Schizosaccharomyces pombe: one gene and its partner. The gene in region 1 interacts genetically with each later gene. Each region holds a gene or a part of one and is shown in the gene's direction. Other genes may lie near its edges.

Region 1 (5,340 bases):
ACTGGGTTGGTTACACCTCGCCGCTATTCTACAATGACTGGCATACGGACTGGTCCATCTCAGAGTGGAACAGGGAGTATTCCATATTCCCCAACGTCACCATTGTCCCGAAATTTTTCGAACTATTCCATACCTATGCTACGAAGCAATAGCACTCAAACAAATGTAAATGGGCCTACAGCATTTGATTTGGGAGTTACAGAGAAATTGATGTCTCCTGGAACTTTAGATAGATACACGCGTCCTGCCTTGTATCCGTCGAAGGACTTGGATTATTTAAAAAATGAGTATGTTAATTATGAATCTACAACAAGTCAACAAACCAATTCTAAAGGTTTAAAAGAGAGCAACTTTGTTGGTTCAGGAATTATCACAAGTATACGTATTCGACCTATTGGTAAAAACCAAGGTGTATGGTCACATGGCAAGTTAAGCAATGACCCATATGGTCGTGAATACATTCGCCAGCAAACAAGTACAAGCTCGTCCACAATTCAGCAAGAATATCTTTTTAATAATGTTTTTGGGATGGAATCTAAAAATTACGATATATACAAACGTTCTGTTAAGTCGGTTGTCCGTAATGTTTTTTCCGGATATAATGGAATAGTGTTTGCTTATGGAATGACCGGCACAGGAAAAACATATTCTATGCAAGGTACGGAAAACGAACCTGGTATTATTCCACTTGCCATGAATGATTTATTTGAAATGGTTGAAAACAATTCTGATGACGATACCTTTCAAATCCGTATATCCTATTTAGAAATTTATAATGAGAGAATACGAGACTTAATCGGAAACTCGGACGAAGAGCCAAGAATACGCGAAAATGCATCTGGAGAAGTCAATGTTACACCATTAACTCGAGTTCTCGTCACTAGCCCCGAAGAGGTTAGTCAGGTTATTGAACAGTGCAATGCAATCCGAAAAACAGCAGCAACCGATTTCAATACGTATAGTTCTCGTTCGCATGCAATTCTTCAGGTTTTTCTTATTCGAAATAATCCTACTGCTCACACTTCACAAATTTCGAGTCTCAGCTTGGTGGATCTCGCTGGAAGTGAAAGAGCTTCAGCTCACCATGAAAGACGCAAAGAAGGAGCATTTATCAACAAATCTCTTTTAACATTAGGAACTGTTATTTCTAGGTTGTCAGCAGCTGCAAATCCTTCACTTACCTCAAATTCAGGACATATACCGTATCGTGAGTCTAAGTTAACTCGTCTGTTGCAGCAATCTTTATCCGGCCAATCACAAATATCACTTTTAGCAACGATAAGCATAGAATCCAACCATACGATGGAGACTACTAACACGCTTAAATTTGCATCTAGAGCTCAAAATTTGCCTCAAGATATTCGCCAAGCGGAAGCTGTGACTAATGTTCAAGCTGAATTAGCATCTTTACACTCTGCCCTTGAAAAGAATGCCCAAGAAGTTGAATATTATGCTTCTTTGGTGAAGCAATTGACTTCGGACTTAGAGGAACGAGATACATACATTGCCATGTTAGAGGCAGAGCGTTCGCAAGGAACTGCTATAAGTAGAGCTCGTTTACGAATGGAGGAATTGCTTTCTGACCATAATTTCGAAATTGCAGATCTAAGAGATGAATTACAAGATAAAGAACAAATTATTTATGCTCTTCGATATGCTCAGAAGCAACGGGATATTGCCGATTTCAATCAATCGCTTGCTAAATTCCCTCACAAAATCTTAAAGAAAAATGTTACTAGGGGAAGCAGAAGCTCCTCTGATCAGTTCAGTAATGAAACTAAAACTGAAATTTTGCCAGACGATCAACAGCAATCGAAAAAGGATTCTGTGACTCAGGAAACGCAACTTCTTTCTTGATACCTTGTTTAATTATAGGCGTCTTCTCATCAACCTTGTTTACAATTTTATACCCATTCAACCTGTATGTCTCCTTAAATTACTTTAACGATACGATGTTTCTTTACTAAACAGGCCGGTTCGCAGTTGCATCTCTTTCTTTTGCATAATATTTTGGAATTTTCGGGGATTTTTTCCAATAATTTGTAATGACACATTGTAATAAATCCTTAATTTGCATAGGTTGGCTTCTCTATGCAAAATTTTATTAAATTTGCGACGACCTGCTACAATCATATACTACGTTTGGAATTTTTATCCTCTATACCGTTAACACATCCTTATGGACATTGCAACAAATTTTATAACCAGGAGCCTTTCTGAAATTGCTCCTAATGCATCTCAAAGTTCTCTTCATGTAACACCGTCATCGGTGAGCAACAATGCGTTTGGGCTAAAGCTTCGACAGCTGATCAGTGACACATATTGTCCGCACATATTTATTATGGCATCTGATGACACAGAAAATTTCATGAAGCGTAAAGGATTTGACGATTTTGCATCTTTTATTCGACCGTTCGGAGATCGCATTTTTCAGAGCTCGACAAACAATTCTGCCATTTCAAAGGAAACTTTGGATTCTAGGATTTTTGATAATGATCATGACTCAATTCGCTTTGTTCCTATGGAAGCAGTACAAGTTCCTCGGCAGTGGAAGCGAAATAAAGCCTGGAATACCGAAAACGGATTAGAAAATTGCGCAAATTCTAGATTTGCTCCTGGCGGTGACATTGATAGTTTCAGAGTCTTGAGTCAGAAGCTCATAGAAGAGTGGGTTCAATCGGGCAGCAATAATTACCCCGAAAATGGATTTTTAAATCCCATTCTGGATTATCTCAAACTTCTACTTTCTGGTAACCCGGTAGCTGAACATGAAACTTTTTCTCATCCTGTGGGTTGTCTAATTGTTATAACGTCTCATAATACCAATCCTATGGCAACTGTTATGCGTTTATTCAAAGAAATTAACAATGCGCCCTTTCCTAATTTTATTTCTAAAGAAATTTTACATTACTATTTGTTTATACATGATGAAGATAACAACGATCTTTCAAATTCGAAGCAAATTTTTCAGCAAATGCGGAGAAGTCTTGGCGCAAACTCTCATTTTATTAGATTAAGGTCGAATTACATATCAGCGAAACCTTTAGATACTGACAGATATGATACGTCTTCTATACAGTCATTAAAAAATGCACCTAGAGATTCGATGGAAAGCGAAAGCTTTTGTTCATCTAGTGATGATGCCAAACCGATAACATTTGTGACTAAAAATTTAAGAAAATTTCCAATTCCAGAATGGAGATCATCATTAGAAGTTCAGGCCGAATCCGAACAATCGTGTTTGCCTCTTTATCCTTTACTGCCTGTAGAAGAAGTGGAAGGGATGAAAAAGTTTGTTCAAACAATGTTGTATGATAGTATATATCCTTTTATGCAAAGATGCGTACGGGCCTGGGAAGAAGATCTGACCCCTCAATACGGTAATTTAACTACCAGGCTTCTATTTGCCTCCAAAAAATACTGGTCTCGTAATCATTCAAGCCATTCTCAAGGTAACTATGATCCACTATCCCTTATTTATTCTTCAGAAAAGCAGGAAAGCATAAAAAGAAAAATGGCGGATTTTTCTTTTATGCTTCGTGATTACAAACGTGCTTATGAAATTTATGATGAGATTCGGAATACATTTTCTCAAGACAAAGCCTGGAATTATTTAGCGTCTTGCGAGGAAATCCAAATAATATGTCTGTTAATGCAAAATCGGAATATCAGCTTGAAGTCGCAAATTTCGTATTTGAACAAATGGTTCGACGAAATGGTTTATATCTATGCTGTTCGTCTTCACTCTTTTTACTATACATTTAGAAGTGTGCTAGTTACAAGCTTGTTGCTCTCGTTGAAGCCTGCGTTTAGTATCGACTTTGCAGCATCCTGGCTTGCAAAGATATTGGAACCAGGCCCTATTTCCCTCAATCCGTTTGAAACTTCTTTCTTAAATACGACAATAGCTGGAATGTATAGTAATAAGGAACATGTTGGTGTTACTGATGGAAATCGCCGCAGAAAAGCTGCTTTTTGGTTTGCATATAGCGCTGGCTTTTGGCGGGACTGTGGCCATTGTAAAATGGCAGAGATTTGCTGGAATCTTGCTAATCGTGTGTATTCAAAATCAGGATGGGAATCGCTTTCTGAACATATGCTGGACTTAAAACCAACGCTTTCCGAAAACTTTCGGGTGAAAAATACTTTTCATTAGACAACTCATCCTGTCATCTGGGCAATCTTTGGTACAAGATCTGCTTATGTAGGTGCTAAACTTTCGATTTTGGTTATGAGCTTATTAATTCAAGCGCGATTAATGCGAAGTTGAAAAATTATATTACCGCTTACAGTATCATATTTATATTCAATTAGCTAGTTAATGACTTTAGAAATTAAAACTTCATTTTTTTTTTGTTCACGTTTTTTGAAATGTTGCTTTAGAATTTAGACTGATGTCAATAATTATTTTAAAATAAAAAGTATATATAAAAAATAACTGTGAAATTCAAAGAGTAGAGGTGTAAGCTATAATTTTGAAAGATTTGAAAAAGGAATAGGAGCTGGCATAAAGGAGCTTAGGATTTCCAATTTAAAATGTAGCATTAGCATTATAATTTATTATATCAAAATTATAATTTAGTATCATACTCAATATAACATATATTAGATATATGCGATTTTACATTAGTCAACTTCATACGAAATTGCTGATGTTATTATAACTTGTCTATCTTATCAGTTTTAGAATAAATTGTTCATTGTCTGAATTTTTGAAAACAAATCATCAGCACCTTATTAGAACTCCAAATTTAGCAATTTGTAACATTACAAAAGTACAAGTGACAAGTCACCTCATACCATTAATTCTGTTTGAAAACTGTATATAGTAAACCACGCAGGTAGCTTCAGGAATATACGACAGAATGGGAAAAAAGGAGAAAGTCAATGCTTTGGAATTTTCTGTTAATAAAGGAATTTTTACAAAAACTCGTTTAAAAAGCCTGTATTCTGACTTTACGAGTCTGTTTATAAAAAATCCTGAAGGATTTTTGGCAAACGTAAATACTTGGAGAGAAGCAATTGAAACATCCGCATGGTCTGGGAAGTTGAATTCTAGGATAATCTTAGTTTTCGATGAGACTTTTGAAAGTGCGTTTTCAAGTCCTGCTTTAGGTAGACCTTTGAGCCTTGGTGCTGTTGCGGTACGTGAATTAAGCATTTTTTTTGAAGCTAATAAGCATATAGGCTTACTGGATCCAGCAAGGGGTTTGGCTTCGTAAGCAAGACTTTTTGAACGATTGTAAAAAAGGAAATTTAGTAAGAGAAGACGGTTTTTCTATTTTTTCAATTCTACGGTGGAGTTTTCAGAAACTTGGGTTTCAAAATCAAGCCTCATCC
Region 2 (4,699 bases), 500 kb from region 1:
ATTTTCTGTTCTCTTGGCTTGTCGCTTTAGCATTTCGATACTTCAACCACAATGACCGTAAGTCCAATTGCTGAACTTGATTTAAAAGTTTCCTAAACTTTTGCAGGTCATTCTTTTTTAAATAATTCAATTGATCATACAAATGTAACTGATTAGTTTCTTCAAATATAGACCGATCAAACAATTCTTTGTCGTCCATTTCGTATTTAGCGTTATAAATACAGTCTAAAAAAAAAAAATGAATGTTTGGCAAACTTGAATCGCTAAAAAAATGCTATTTACGCTTCTTCAAGTGCTCTACTACTATTGTCAGTTAATTTGCAATGTCTTACTTTTATTCGCACTATCGTGTTTACCACACAATAGCGAATTTTTACGCATATAAAGGTTTTAAAAGTTTATATTGCAACTTCTCACCGTTTTTTTCATAAAATTAAAAATGGCAGCGGTTGACAGATCAAGGACAGAAATCTCTGTCCTTTCTGATCGTGTTACAGATGTAGGAAGTGTAGATTTTCCAGGTTATTATTTTGATGAAGACAACATCTGGGATCTTGATAAATTTAAAAAAAATTTAAAAGTTTCGATTACGTCTCTCGATCAAGAAACAATGGTATTTGAAATTTCTGGAATTGATGCATCCATTGCAAATGCATTTAGGAGGATTTTAATCGCCGAGATCCCAACTCTTGCATTTGAGTTCGTGTATATCATAAACAATACGAGCATAATACAAGATGAGGTTTTGTCTCACAGAATAGGTCTTGTACCTATATCTGCTGATCCTGACATGTTTAAATGGTTTCAACATCCTCTGCCAGGACAAGAGGCAACTCATACTGATTACGATACTGTTGTCTTTTCCCTTAATAAGAAATGCGAGTTTAATAAGAATGCCGCTACAGATGAAAAAGATCCAAAGAGACTTTACGTTAACTCTGAGGTTTATTCGGGTGATCTAATTTGGAAACCGCAAGGTCGACAGGAAGAGCGATTTGCTGACAATCCTATACGAGTAGTCAACCCAGATATTGTTGTTGCAAAATTGCGTCCTGGCCAGGAAATCGATTTAGAAGCTCATGCAATCTTAGGTATTGGACAAGACCATGCTAAGTTTTCTCCTGTTGCTACTGCCTCCTACCGCTTATTGCCTACTATACATATCTTGTCTCCTATTGAAGGTGAAGATGCAGTTAAATTTCAAAAATGCTTCCCTAAAGGAGTCATCGAGCTTGAAGAAGGACCTGATGGTAAAAAACAAGCCCGTGTAGCAGACGTTCGAAAAGACACCGTATCCCGCGAATGCTTGAGACATCCCGAATTTGCAGATAAGGTGCAATTAGGCCGCGTACGCGATCATTATTTGTTTTCTGTTGAAAGCACCGGTATTATGAAGCCCGATGTCTTGTTCATTAAAAGCATTGCAGTCCTAAAATCGAAATGTCTAGCCGTAAAGTCTAGTCTTCAGAATATTTCTTCTGACTGAATGTCTGTTAAATTAGTTTTATATGTAATCTTTTGGATAATTGGGTACGCTGTTAAAAAATATACTTTTGAAAGTTATTGATTTCTATATTTCAATATTAACATTTTGTCCTTTCTTTAATTTTAAATTTAATTCATCATAGACATGTATTTTGTTGATAACCAGTAGACCTTTTAAAAAGAAGTGTTGGTTTTCAATCACTACTTGCCATCCTTTGAAAGTCCTTATAAAATGCTTTGAGAATTTATATGAAAGCGACGCCTTTAATTGATGCAACTGAAAAAATTACTTTTCATTATATTTTTACAGGGATTTTGAAGTCCTATCTATTAAATTACCTAAATTAAACTAGACTGATTGTATAAATTTTAAAAATATTGTAAATGCCGGTTTTAACTAATTTGCAAAGAATGTGCCTAAGCATGCAGCAGAGTCTTAGTTAAGTTGCTTTGTTACTACATGATTGAACTATTATAGGAAAAGAAAAATAAAATAGAATCAGTTCTAACATATTCAGGAAACGCCATTTTGCTGATCTTTTCTAGATCAATCCTGACTGAGTAGAGAGTAGCCACAACATGACTCAGCAACAACAAACTTACCCCAAGCGTATACCATGCAAGGATTTGGGAGCCAAATTTTTCGGAAATTGCTGCGTAGTAGTAATGCTAAAGTGTCAGATGCACTTTTACAAAATACGCGTACCCTTTTCACCGCTCCGCCTTTACATTCTGGGTTACAAACTTCATTCACCGCTGAAACTCAACAACATGTAAGGCAGAATTCTCAAAATTTGGTATGTAAAGGCTGATGTTTCCACCTTTTTCTAACAGGTAAATAGCTGAAACAATTAAATGATGAAATGAAGGCGCGCAAGTATACGGAAACCGTTGCTACTTTCAGCAGCCTGAAACCATTTGGCATTTTAGATAGTCAAACCATTAATAGATACATTTTGTTTTTGGTAGATCGGATTAAAATGCTCAATGGGAGAGGTAATGTAGATGAAGCTACTCTCGACAAACTTGATGATATACTTCGATATGCAATTGAACACCAAGAGATTGCCTCTGCTAGGTTTTGGCGAATTATGCTCCAATCATATATCGACCTAAACCTTTTTGACAAGGCTTCATTAATTGCTGATATGAGCTTAAGCCATATGGAGTTTTTACCTAAAGATGAACGAGTTTTAGGCAACCTCTACATCTCAGCACTTCAAGCTAAGATACTTGGAGGTGCCAGTTTTGAACAGTGTGGAAAAATAGGTTCAGCCATTCACGAGCAACTTGAAGGGAAAGAAGTTGTAAATGAATTGGTTGCTGTGTATTTGATTTATACTGTTTTCAAAGATCAAGGTATTAGCAGTAAAGCTCATAAAGCTTTAGTTCAATTTAACGGACTAACAAGTTTTCACTCCGATGTCATTATTTCAGTGTTTGTCAACAAAGGTCTCGTCGATCAAGCTGCTGCTTATCTGAAAAATTCTAATCTTAACGAAAGAAATCTACCAACGATCTATACAACCGTTTGGTTACTTCAAAGACTTTTTGAAGCACACCATTCTCTAGATCCTTTGCTAACTATTTTCGATTATTATCTTTCAGTGTCACCCAAAGATATCACTCGTTTGACAAATGCTATTTTAAGTCTTTCAATGAAGCAATTTGAACGAGATCGGGATATTAAAAAGGCTACCGACTTTATCACTACGTTTATCAACAAGATGTCAGATGTAAAGGAGTTCAAACCATCCATTAGTACTGCCAACACCTTGTTCTCTATTGCTAGTCGTTTAAAGGATGTAAAATGGCTTTCTGCTGGATTTGATATGATAGACAAGTACGGGTTAAAGCCTACTCATGTCACTTATCGGTCATTATTGAAAGCATACTGTTTATTGCCAAGCACATGTGAGCAAATTTCGCAGGCTTGGGTAAATCTTGAGTATCGTCTTGAAGCTATTTCCATTTCTGTTGCAGATAAAGAAATAAATCTCCTAAAGGACTGCATTCTATCTCAACCTGACAGAGATGATCAACAAAGTTGCCTGCAATTTCTGAATATGGTGCTATCAAAATACGGTAAACATATACGTTCGCCATAAATTTTTTTGCACTTTGGATAATCTCATATAGTTCTTCCTTTTAACGAGATTACGATTAAATGTGTACATCACAGCCATATTACCTGCATGCATTAAAGTTCAAAAGTGTTCACTCCCATCTTTTAATATGTCCCACACTTTCACAAATTGAGTTATTTATTTTATTTAGGAACGTTTCGGTGGTGATTTTTGATTTTCGTTTTATGAAGTTACCTGGATGGGTTTAATTGTTTACCTCTTTGATATTTGTTAATTTTCCTTAACGTACATACTCCTTTCTGTTTTTTGCTATAGCCATCTTTTATATTAAATATATATTTTTTTATTCCAGATACAGGTTTTGTGTTCGTCTTAATAGTTTAGCATCTAAAAACACCTGTTTATTCTCAAGAGATATGGATAGTTTGAAATACTTAGAAGCTTTGCCTGGTTTATGACAAGTACGAAAAGTAAGGGATTTAAACCGCGCTAAGTTATGCTGTTAAAGACAGCTTTAAACGAATATTAGAGGATATTTTTCCCGGTATTTGTAGGTATGTCTTGCTAGTGGAAAATTTGTAAGTTAAATTATTATCACTATATTTTAATGCTTTATATGCACTCAAACAGCTGGGGTCGGTGTATGTCATTGTATTAATGTGAGACCAAAGTGCTTTATTGTACTCTATGAATCACAAATTTTGCTTTACATTAAAGTATTAGTTTAAATTTTAACTGCTTATCTCGCAAAAAATACGCTGCCTAGAAAATATACTAAGTTTAAAATAGTAATTCATTTAGGTATGGTGGTTGTTAAAAAGAGCATATAAATAGAAAAATTTGATGTTTTGAAAGTAATGTCTATAAAACATAAATGAGTTATGTTTAGCAATGCTTATATTTGCAAGGATGCTGTATACGCCGTAACAGCATTATTAGATGCACTTGTTAAATTCAGTGCTGCTCGAACGTACTATCATGTAATATTGTAAGATTCAAATGGTTTCTGCTATCTGTTTACTTACAGTTCTTGATCATATGCCTAAAAATGTAAAACAATACCGAATTTACTTATTAAGTTCCAGTTCACCTGAGCAAACAACGGCGCGTTGCCCAACAATTATAAC

What was found. Genes that interact genetically often act in the same process or in processes that back each other up.
Region 2: mutations in trs8501 (region 1) and ppr8 together harm fitness more than expected from each alone (negative genetic interaction), as found in Schizosaccharomyces pombe (one large-scale study listed by BioGRID).

What each region holds. Positions count from the first base shown.
Region 1 is NC_003423.3:3,893,231-3,898,570, forward strand, and holds trs8501 (TRAPP complex subunit Trs85), read left to right. Parts: upstream 1-2,000; 5' UTR 2,001-2,179; coding exon 2,180-4,156; 3' UTR 4,157-4,284; downstream 4,285-5,340. Other genes in the region: kinesin family plus-end directed microtubule motor Tea2, read left to right, coding at 1-1,857; cmp7 (ESCRT III complex subunit), read left to right, coding at 4,866-5,144, 5,188-5,340.
Region 2 is NC_003423.3:4,392,840-4,397,538, reverse strand, and holds ppr8 (PPR repeat-containing protein Ppr8), read left to right. Parts: upstream 1-2,091; 5' UTR 2,092-2,102; coding exon 2,103-2,282; intron 2,283-2,327; coding exon 2,328-3,593; 3' UTR 3,594-3,929; downstream 3,930-4,699. Other genes in the region: uap1 (UDP-N-acetylglucosamine diphosphorylase Uap1/Qri1(predicted)), read right to left, coding at 1-199; DNA-directed RNA polymerase I and III subunit Rpc40, read left to right, coding at 440-1,486. UniProt on the Schizosaccharomyces pombe protein: Mitochondrial RNA-binding protein involved in mitochondrial translation. The cox1 mRNA is one target but it is not clear if ppr8 has a single or multiple targets.